Linked DNA regions of Callithrix jacchus. The protein of the gene in region 1 interacts with the protein of each later gene in a pairwise test. Links are inferred from orthologs where the notes say so. Each region holds a gene or a part of one and is shown on either strand. Other genes may lie near its edges. The genes, in order: INPP5K, ARL6IP1 and MAD2L1BP.

Region 1 (4,403 bases):
AGGAGATCACCATCCTGACCAACATGGTGAAACCCCATCTCTACTAAAATACAAAAAATTAGCCGGGCGTGGTGTCGAGCCCCTGTAGTCCCAGCTACTCCAGAGGCTGGTGCAGGGGAATTGCTTGAACCCGGGAGGTGGAGGTTGCCGTGAGCAGAGATTACGCCATTGCACTTCAGCCTGGGTGACAGCGAGATTCTGTCTCAAAAAAATAAAGTAGTTCTTGGCCGATCCCGGTAGCTCATGCCTGTAATCCCAGCACTTTGAGAAGCTGGATCACCTGAGGTCAGGAGTTTGAGACCAGCCTGGCCAACATGGTGAAACTGTGTCTCTACTAAAAATACAAAAAGATTAGCTGGGCCTGGTAGCGGGCTCCCATGCTGAGGCAGGAGAATTGCTTGAACCCCGGAGGTGGAGGTTGCAGTGAGCTGAGATTGCACCACTGCACTCCAGCCTGGGCAACAGAGCCACACTCCATCTCAAAAAAAAAAAAATAGTTCTTAACCTGGCTCCCTGGCGCGTGAACCTCAGGAAGCTTGTTTGTAAAACTGCAATTTTTTTGAGGAAAGTGCTGTCAAAGTATTCCCATAAATAACCCCACCACCCAGGAAAACTGATAAAGAACAATGACTTAAAGGAAATCACAGTGAATCTTTAGCAAAGTAACCATTTCACGTTTGGTCTTGAATTCAGACTACATAGAAGCCGTCTGGCCTTGAAAACGGGCCATATGGAAGCAGTGAGTTATTTTGAGGGGGGCGGGGCGACGGAGTCGCGCTCTGTCGCCCAGGCTGGGAGTACCGCGGCGCGATCTCGGCTCTTTGCAACCTCCGCCTCCCGGGTTCAAGCGATTCTCTGGCCTTAGCCTCCGGAGTAGCTGGGACTACAGGCGCGTGCCACCCCGCCTGGCCTTCTCGTTTATTGATGACTAAACTTCTAGGAGTCTAGGAATCCCCAAACGTCCCACATGCAATAGGCAACCCCATCAGTTAGTAGGGCAAAAGCCGCCTGCAAGTGGAGGTGGAGAATGGAGACGCTCCAGGAGCGGCATGGGCGCCACGGGAGTGGGAGATTACTCGCAGCTGGGGAGGCCGGGTTCCAGGCAGGACGGTGGTTAGGCTGCGTGTCCCCACCCCCGGCCCTCGTTTGCCCACTGGGTCTCTGGACGGCCGTGAGCCGGGGCGAAGACAGCACAAGTACCGGACTCTCGGATCCCTCACGAGCGGGTCAGAGGCCGCGGCGGCGGAGCGACAACTTCCGCCGGAAGACGGCCCCTGGCGCGGGGCACGCTGGGAGTCGCGAGGCGGGCGGCGGGCGGCGGGCGGTGGGCGGTGGGCTGGGCGGGGTCCAGTGGAGGCCGCGCATCCGGGCCGGCTGCGGCTGTGTAGCATTGTGCGCTGATGACGGGCCAGACACGCCTCCCTGACGTCACCGAAGCCGTCCTTAGCTCAGCCTCTCGCAGCTTCGCGCTTGTGGAAGAGTCCCGCCTCCTCCCGCGAGCCGCACCACCGAGAGCCCGCGGTGCGCCCGTGGCCCGTCTCTGACTGAAGCCGGGGCGGGCGGTCGGAGTCCGGAAGAAAAACAGTCAACGACAGCGGGGCGCGTGAGACCGGCCGGCCGCGGGGCTGCTCTGGCCGCCAGACGCGAGCTGCCGGACCACCGCGCGGGACGACGGCGGCCATGAGCTCTCGGAAGCCGAGCGGGCCGAAAGGCAGGAGGCTGGGGTGAGGAGGGGCTGGAAGCGGGATGGCCTGCTGGGGCGGATGGCGGCCGCCGACCCCCTCAGGCTGCGGACTGCGGGCTGCTGGTGGGCGCAGCCTTGGAGGCAAGGCTGCAGACTTCCATGACTGCCTTGGGTTCAGGGACGCCCTCACATTCTCCCAGGCCTGTGCCGGGTGGGCTGTGTTGGGCCCGAGCCTCGCGCGCCCCCTAAGCCGAGGCCGCCAAGCTCGTTCCTACTGGGGCGCGATCGGGTGTCGCGGTTGCTTTCTGGAGAGGACCGCCGTGTTGGGTTTGTGAGGTTAGAGACACAAGGCCGTCACCCTTCAGCTCTAGGTTAGGAATCTCGTTCCTACTTTTCTTTTTTTTTTTTTTGAGATGGAGGTTTGCCCTGTCGCCCAGGCTGGAATGCAGTGGCGCGATTTTGGCTCACCGCAACCTCCGCTTCCCGGGTTCGAGCGATTCTCCTTCCTCAGCCTCCCTAGTAGCTGGATTACAGGCGCGCACCACCACACCGGCCTAATTTTGTGTTTTTGGTAGAGATAGGGTTTCTCCACGTTGGTCGGGCTGGTCTCGAACTCCGGACCTCAAATGATCCGCCTGCCTTAGCCCCCCAAAGTGCTGGGATTACAGGCGTGAGCCACCACGCCCGGCGTTCCTACTTTTCATCAGCACATACATCATGAGTTCTGCCTGATTCCACGGTGACCCCTGGAAATCCACAATCAGATTGAGATAAGATCCTTTAGTGAAGTGACTTAGCCTGGTCTCTTGCCAGCTCTTTCACGGGGAACAGCGCTAATCGCCTACTTAGTCTAAGTCATGATGCACGGATTTGCTGCTAATCGTCGGATCTGAGAGTGGGAACAAGAAATCTGGACTTGTGCTCTCCATCCACTTAGAGCAAGTCTGGGAAAATAAGTCTGAGCAAAAGGTCTTTGTTCCTTAAGCCTCTGTCGGACAGCAGGGGGAGATCGTAGACAAATGAAGCACTTAATCTCAGGCCGAGTGCCTGGGAAGGTGGTTTCTGTATGGTGTTGTTTATGCTAATAGGGAGGGACAGGAAATTGTTTTAAACTGGCCAAGAATTTCTTGAAGTGCTTTGGAGAACGTCGACCTCTAAGAGCAGGGTCTGTTGGAGAAGAGATGTTTTGGCCTCATTTGCCCTTTTCTCCCAGTCCCATTACACACCCACTCCCCCACTTCCCCCGCATTGGAATCTCCAACTGCTGCAGGTCCTCCTCCTTACTGTGCGCCTAGCACTCAGGCCAGCTGTTGCTGGTCTCTGCAGGGGCTGTAGCTCCTGTCTGCTCTGTGCTCTGCACAGTCTGACACTGCTTGTAAGGCTGCTGTCAGTATTCCACTAAAGACATCTGTTGGCCTCCTCTGGTCTCTCCTTCCTCTGAGCCTCTGAGTGGGTCCAGTGTCATTGAGGCCCCCGATCACCTAGGAAGTCTCTTGCCTCCCTAAGACTTGTATGCTGAGGTTAAAATTATCCAAGTAAAGACTTCCCAAGAGAGAGTACTCTTTTTTTTCTTTTTTCATGCAATACTACACAGCCATAGAGTATAGACTCTTAAGACATATGCAGAGAAACCTGTTACTTAGAAACTTCTCCTTGGCCAGGCGTGATGGCTCAGGCCTGTAATCCCAGCACTTTGGGGGGCTGAGGTGGGCAGATCACCTGAAGTCAGGAGTTTGAGACCAGCCTGGCCAACATGGTGAAACCCCATCTCTACTAAAAATACAAAATGAGCCAAGTGTGGTGGCACATGCCTGTAATCCCAGCTCCTTGGGAGGCTGAGGCAGGAGAATCGCTGGAACCCAGGAGGTGGAGGCTGCAGTGAGCCCAGATCATGCCACTGAACTCCAGCCTGGGCAACAGAATGAGACTTCATCTCAAAAAAAAAAAAAAAGAAGAAGCTTTTCCTTAGGCTCACTGAAGTACTTGGCAAAATTGATTTGCTCCAGGGATTTGCTAGGGAGGAGAGAGGAAGGCAATATGGTGTTGTTATCTCTTTCATGTTTTAAATTCATCTGCCCTTGTGGTGCTGAGGCCTAGCACAAGGTAAAATCTGAGTCCCCAGGATCTTCCTGGTGGTCTTAGGAACACTTGGGGTGAAAAGTAGGGTGGTAAGTTGCTGACTGAGCCATAGATGATCAAAGTTGTGTGTGGGTAGCTGGAGGAGCTGATGGAGTTAATCCATTCAGCCCCCTGACCTTCCCTTGCCTGACCCGGAAGTCTTGGGCTCCCTTCGGCACCTCTGCTATGTCAGCAGCACCAGGGCTGCCAGCTGTTTACGGCTGTGCGCTTGCCTGGAGGAGCCAGTCTGCGGTGCGGTTTCCTGCTTCAGTGGACAAAGGTGAGGACGGATAGCCCATCGTTCAGTATCCCCATTCCATCCACCAATGCAGAAATCCGCATTTTCCATCACGAGTACAGGGGATTATGGTGACCTGAGCAGGCCTAGACCCCATTTGTGCACTATCTTTGTTTGTTTTTTTGAGACAGTCTCGCTCTGTTGCCTAGGCTGGAGTGCAGTGGCATGATCTCAGCTCACTGCAACCTCTGCCTCCCAGTTTCAAGCAATTCTCCTGCCTCAATCTCCCCTGAGTAGCTGGGATTACAGGAGCCCGCCACCATACCCAACTAATTTTTGTATTTTTAGTAGAGACGGGGTTTC
Region 2 (4,245 bases), on another chromosome or scaffold:
TACTTACTTTATGTAAGTACTACAAATTCTGGAAACTAGAAGTGCCTATAAGAAAACACATTCTTTCTGGGTTATATATTACAAAAGACTTAAGACACACCCACAAATGAAAGCTATATATTAAAAGGCTTTTATTAACAAGAAACACAACCCGTAGTAATCTGATAGTTCACTTACAGAAACACCAAAGAAACCACACCCATGATGGCAGGTGGAAACCAGGCTCTTTCCCATCGAAGGACTCTATCAGCCATCAGCATCACTTCTCCCCATCCTTGCAGCTGTTCTTCCAGACTTGCAGTCTCTGCAGCCTAAATACCGCCAACATTTAAAGCAATTGTTTTACCACTCTCAACATCTTTGTGGTTCACAAAATTCAATTATTTTAAGGCTCCAAATACATAAAAATAACCTCTTAACCAAATTGCCATTTTAAAGCAAGTTGGTATCTGAAAAACTGCAATTGCAAAGATGAAAACCCAATGGTTTTTTTGTTGTTGTTGTTGTTTTCTGGAGTCTTGCTCTGTCACCCAGGCTGGAATGCAGTGGTGAGATGAAGCTTCTGCCTCACAGGTTCAAGCAATTTTCCTACCTCAGCCTCCGGAGTAGTTGGGACTACAGGCACATGCCACCACACCCGGCTAATTTTTTGTACAGATGGGGGTTTCACCATGTCAGCCAGGCTGGTCTTGAACTCTCGATCTCAAGTGATCTACCAGGCCCAGCCTAAATATCCTTTTAATGGTCACTTTTCTGGTCCAAGCACTGGGCTATTCTTTACATACATGATGTAACTTGATCCTTATAGAGAGCCACAAGGTAGGGATAATTAGACTCATTTTACAATTAAAGAAAGTGAGCTCAAAATAGTTTACTTTCTTAAAGTCATACAGGGAATCATGCGGCAGTGCCTAGAGTATTAATAAAAACGAAATTGCTTTAAGTTTGTTTATTTCGGATGGTTAGAATTGATCTGTTTTGTCATCTTATTGATTTAAACCCTTCTAAATCCATTAGGAAAGACTTTCCTGAACAGCATTCAATTTCTAAAATAGCTCTTTGTGTAATGGAATCACTCAGATGTTGGCATTCATTGCACAATTAAGGAAAACTACTTTCACTAAATTAAAGTGGCATATTAGGCTCAATGTATCTCCTCAGTACAGTGTTTCCTACCACTTAGGAGGTCATTCTGGTTATACTTCAAATTTCTCTATGACTCTGACAGCCGAAAGTGGACCTTTAGGATGAGCTAATGTGGCAAAAGCCCTGAAAACTCGTTTTGATACAGGAAGAAAAAATTAGAAGAAACCCAAGTGTTTGTGTTGAGTCTGGATGCAGTGGCTGACACCTATAATCCCAGCACTTTAGGAGGAAGAGACTGGAGGATTGTTTGAGCCTCAAGAGTATGGGACTAGCCTGGCCTGAGACCTTGTCTCTATAAATGTCATTCACTGGGAAGCATGCAAATGACAGAATCTTAACAAAGACACTTCATCTTAACAAAGCCACTCTATCTGTGCCACGCTGACCACTCTTTTGATCTCAATATTTTTGACTTTATTTCCATGCTTAATACTAATGAAAGAAGAGGCTACCTCCCAGCAGTGGGAACTCTGCTGAGCATTTTATATTTATACTTCAATTAATCTTCCCAACAACCCTAAAAAAGGTGCTATTACTATCCCCATTTTAGAGGAGGAAACAGATAAACAGAGGTTAACAGACTTGCATCCAGGAAACCCAAGACCAAAGGCTTTGCTTTCCTTATTGTTATACTGCTTTGCTGCAAAGCAAGAGCCCTAGCCCAGGATTTGTCATTTCAACAGGGCATGAGCAACTTCTTTGTGCTTCAATTAATCCTCTTAAAAGGAACCATGCTGGGAACTATGTTAGAAGGCGTGTGTTTAAAGGAACAAACCAAGCATTTCTAAAAGCAAATATGAAGTGAAAATAATGCACAATCAAAACTGCCCTGAAGTCACGTCATTGGCCAGCACCTGGGCTCTTGGAAGTTCAAAAGCCCAAAATTAAGTTCTTTGGTTCCGTTTTTCATTGCTGGTGTGTGACCTGCAGTCACAAGGAAGGGTAACCGAGAATATGTAAGGGTATCTTTTTTCTGCCTACATGGTGCACTTAAATTCGTAACAAATGAAATTTACCCGCCTATGATACCTAACATCACTGCAGTTCCTTCGGATCCCCGCTTATTACTCTCAAGTTGTTTCCAGTCGTCCTGTGACCCCACCCCCGCCAGACTTCCAAATTCCAGACAAACGCCAAGACATGCCATTGTCTGTTCAGCTGTACCCCACTCTCTCAGTTCCCCACGGTGAGCTCGCAGCCTCCCTGCGGTTTTAAGTTGTAGCAGCTCTAACAGAAATTCTCAGCAGTAGCCTTTTGACCTTCTATCCTTCCAAGCTTTAGGGGGAAAAGAAAGCAAGCACAGCCAGGTTAAGATCAAAGACGGGGAAAGCCGAATACGGCTGGGGCCTGGGCCCCGAAAGCGCTGGAGAGGCCCCAAGAGGCCTTCTGCCCCCTGCGGCACCCCAGGCTAGTGTCGCAGCCCCAGGCCTCCCACTTCCTCCTCGACCCCTATTGGCGGTTAGGAATCACCCGCCCTCCTCGCCCCGTCGAGCACCGTCCCCAGGAAAGGTCAGGGATCGACACCCAGGGCCAGGCATCGTCGCCTGCGCCAGGAGAGAAGGGACGGGCCCGCGGCGGGTGACAGGGAAGAGGCCGCGGCGTTTGAGCCCACGGACGTCCGGCGGCCTCGCTTGGCTCCCGGGGAACAGGCAGCCAGGACTCACCAGCAGGTTGGAGCTGCGATTATCTCCCTCCGCCATCGTCTCTGAGATGCTGTCTCTTAAGCTCAGGCCACCTTCCAGCGAAACCTCCTACCAGGACTCGCACGGCGACCGCAGCGCACGGGAACGCCCCGCAGACCGCTTATATGGGTTGTCTGCCCTTCCCGACAGCCCCCGCGATACTCGCTCCTCATTGGACAGGCTGAGCTCACGCCTCCGGGAAGCCGGACCAACCGAAGTTCAGCGCATGGCTTGAAATCGAGGTCAAAGGAGACAGAGGCGGTGTCGGGCCGAGGGGAGGGGACACGGAGTGGCCAATCAGCGTTCAGAGACTGCGCGACATCCCACCCAGGTCTGTCGGTAGCGGTTCAACGGCCGCCGCAGGGGGCGCTGTCCCGCAATGGTTCCCCAGTTCCGGCCTCCGCGGCCGCTTTCTAACCCTCTTTGTCTGGCTCTCGCAGCCCAGGAGCCTCTCCGAAAAAAGAGCTCCTCGGAGAGATACCGCGCCGCCTGAAGCGGAGGACGCCGGGCCTGCGACACTTAACCTATTCGTGGCCCCTAGGCGACTGGGATCCACTCCCTCTACGGTCCGGTGCCTTCGTCAGGCACCTGAGCCGTTTAGCCCCGATTTGCGACTCGCGAGGTTTTTTTTTTTTTTTTTTTGAGACGCAGTTCCGCTCTTGTTACCCAGGCTGGAGTGCAATGGCGCGATTTCGGCTCACCACAACCTCCGCCTCCTGGGTTCAGGCAATTCTCCTGCCTCAGCCTCCTGAGTAGCTGGGATTACAGGCACGCACCACCATGCCCAGCTAATTTTTTGTATTTTTAGTAGAGACGGGGTTTCACCAAGTTGACCAGGGTGGTCTCGATCTCTTGACCTTGTGATCTACCCGCCTCGGCCTCCCAAAGTGCTGGGATTACAGGCTTGAGCCACCGCGCCCAGCCCTGCGAGGTTTTGAGGACAAATGAAAAGAGCTCTTTGTGTAGATTTTGCTGCAATGTTTCTCTTCTACCCAGTAGAAATAAGGCCTTAGTGGAAAAACCCAGGCCTGGTTTGAGAACGTGTGAAAAATGCACCGCCCTCTAAGTGGCTTATTATACGTGGGTGCTTAAGTTACTTAAACTACGCGCTCCCTTTCCAAAAGGATTTTTTGTTTTTTGAGACGGGGGAATCTCGCTCCATTGCCCAGGCTGGGGTACATTAGCGCGATCTCTGCTCACTGTAGCCTCCATCTCCCGGGTTCAAGTGATGCTCACGCCTCAGCCTCCGGAGTAGCGGGAATTACAGGCGCCTGCCTCCATGCCCGGCCAATTTTTGTATTTTAGTAGAGACGGGGTTTCACCATGTTGGCCAGGCTGGTCTCAAATTCCTGACCTCAAGAGATCCACCCGCCTTGGCCTCTCAAAGTGGTGGGATTACAGGCGTGAGCTGCCGCGC
Region 3 (2,344 bases), on another chromosome or scaffold:
TTGTTGGGGGATTCTTTAAACATAATATTGGAAAATCTTCCCTCTGGTGAGGGAGAAATTTGGCAGGTGATCTAAGCGTCTTTACACAGATTTCTATTCATTTCCCCATATTCACTCTAGCCTCTGTGGTGCCTATATCACCAATTACTAAACCTTTATGGGGTTCTGCTCTATGAATCAGTTTGGATCCCTTGGGAGTCCCTTCTGTCAGCACTTGGTATTCAGCTCACTTGAACTCTTAACTCCTCATCTGCTTTTTTTTTTTTTTTTTTTTTTTTTTAAGACAGGGTTTCACCATGTTGGTCAGGCTGGTCTTGAACTCCTGACCTCAGGTGATCTGCCCACCTTGGCCTCCAAAGTGTTTGGATTACAGGTGTGAGCTACCATGCCCGGCCTCTTCATCTGCTATCTTCCAAAACTTTGTGTTTGCCTTTGGCCAGTGTTGTATAGTCTCCAGTTCTTTTGCCCTTTGGCGTTCTCTTTCTTGCTCTTTCCTTTCTTTGTTTCTTAATTTCTTTCCTCTCATTTTGTAGTATTTCAGGTGGAAGCACAAATAAGCATGTGTTCAGTTTACTATTTAAGTGGAAGAACAAGTTCAAAGTTATGTTTATTAGACCAAATAATCCTCATTCCTGTTATCACTTGTCATGCCATCAAATCTCTTGTTTAGTTGCTTATATCTGGATGCCCTCCACCTTCAGAACACTGTTTGCTCCTCTAAATGTGGGAGAATTATGGTTTTGTACAAATAATATATTTTCCTTTTCAATATAATGCCCTCTGATAAAACACAGTGTTTTAGCTATGGCAGTTCATTGAGCTAGAACTTTAGTCCTGTAAGTCTATGTACACATCCCAGCAGGGTTCTTTTCAAAGGGCATTAGCTTCTCCTTGTCTTATCCTTCTCTCCCACCATTGTTTGTCCTTACAGACAGAGGAGATGCTGAAGAAGAAACCTCGGGCCACCACTGAGGTGAGCAGCAGGAAATGCCAACAAGCCCTGGCAGAACTGGAGAGTGTCCTCAGCCATCTAGAGGACTTCTTTGCACGGACACTAGTACCACGAGTGCTGATTCTCCTTGGGGGCAATGCCCTAAGCCCCAAGGAGTTCTACGAACTCGACTTGTCTCGGCTGGCCCCCTACAGCGTGGATCAGAGCCTGAGCACAGCAGCTTGTTTGCGCCATCTCTTCAGAGCCATATTCATGGCTGATGCCTTCAGCGAGCTTCAGGCTCCTCCACTCATGGGCACCATCATCATGGCACAGGGACACCGCGACTGTGGAGAAGATTGGTTTCGACCCAAGCTCAACTATCGAGTGCCCAGCCGGGGCCACAAACTGACTGTGACCCTGTCATGTGGCAGACCTTCCATCCGAACCACGGCTTGGGAAGACTACATTTGGTTCCAGGCACCAGTGACACTTAAAGGCTTCCGCGAGTGAATGAGCGCTTCTTAATCCTGAAAACACAATGGCTGAATTATCTTTCTCCATGTGGCACTGAATCACCTATCTAGTTTGGAGCTAGAGTTGCTTCCTGGTGAGAGAGGAAGCAACTCTCCTTTTGGTTGTCTGCCTCCTTCCTCAGATTTCCTGGTGGGCTGATGGCATGTAGCTGTGACTGTAATCATTGCTGAACAACATCTCTTTGAATCAAAGGTTGATCTTCCCAGAGGGTGCTGGGTCAGTGTTTCTGTTAGGGATTGGAAAGCAAAGATGGGTCCATAGACAGACACTCTATGGAGGTGGCCCTTTCTGCTCTTTGCTGTGTTCTTTCTGAATTTTTACCAGGAACATAATGTGGATGTGACTCATGAACTTAAATATAAATAGATTCTTATTATATTTTCCTGAAACTGTTTTGACTTGAAGAAACTTGTCAGGCTTGGCCAGGTGCAGTGGCTCACACCTGTAATCCCAACACTTTGGGAGACTGAGGCGGGTGCATCACGAGGTCAGGAGTTCAAGACCAGCCTGCTAAGATGGTGAAACCCCGTCTCTACTAAAACTACAAAAAAGTTAGATGGGCATGGTGGTGGGTACCTGTAATCCCATGTTCTTCAGCCTAGGTGACGAGTAAGACTTGTCTCAAAAAAAAAAAAAAAAAAAAAAAAGGCTGGGCGTGGTGGCTCATGCCTATAATCCCAGCACTTTGGGAGGCCGAGGTGGCAGATCACAAAGTCAAGAGACGGGACCATGCTGTCCAACACGGTGAAACCCCGTCTCTACTAAAAATACAAAAATTAGCTGGGCATGGTGGTACACGCCTGTAGTCTCAGCTACTTGGGAGGCTGAGTCAGAAGAATTGCTTGAACACAGGAGGTAGAGGTTGCAGTAAGCCGA

Evidence for each region.
Region 2: the proteins of INPP5K (region 1) and ARL6IP1 interact in binary tests that used the Homo sapiens proteins (3 or more experiments, as listed by UniProt). The link is inferred for Callithrix jacchus from reciprocal best matches to the Homo sapiens genes INPP5K and ARL6IP1.
Region 3: the proteins of INPP5K (region 1) and MAD2L1BP interact in binary tests that used the Homo sapiens proteins (3 or more experiments, as listed by UniProt). The link is inferred for Callithrix jacchus from reciprocal best matches to the Homo sapiens genes INPP5K and MAD2L1BP.

The regions. Positions count from the first base shown.
Region 1 is NC_133506.1:66,715,697-66,720,099, forward strand, and holds the start of INPP5K (inositol polyphosphate 5-phosphatase K), read left to right. Parts: upstream 1-1,472; 5' UTR 1,473-1,680; coding exon 1,681-1,724; intron 1,725-4,403. UniProt on the Homo sapiens protein: Inositol 5-phosphatase which acts on inositol 1,4,5-trisphosphate, inositol 1,3,4,5-tetrakisphosphate, phosphatidylinositol 4,5-bisphosphate and phosphatidylinositol 3,4,5-trisphosphate.
Region 2 is NC_133513.1:20,243,696-20,247,940, forward strand, and holds the start of ARL6IP1 (ADP-ribosylation factor-like protein 6-interacting protein 1), read right to left. Parts: upstream 2,928-4,245; 5' UTR 2,847-2,927; coding exon 2,811-2,846; intron 312-2,810; coding exon 178-311; intron 1-177. UniProt on the Homo sapiens protein: Positively regulates SLC1A1/EAAC1-mediated glutamate transport by increasing its affinity for glutamate in a PKC activity-dependent manner.
Region 3 is NC_133505.1:52,113,142-52,115,485, forward strand, and holds the end of MAD2L1BP (MAD2L1-binding protein), read left to right. Parts: intron 1-931; coding exon 932-1,444; 3' UTR 1,445-1,844; downstream 1,845-2,344. UniProt on the Homo sapiens protein: May function to silence the spindle checkpoint and allow mitosis to proceed through anaphase by binding MAD2L1 after it has become dissociated from the MAD2L1-CDC20 complex.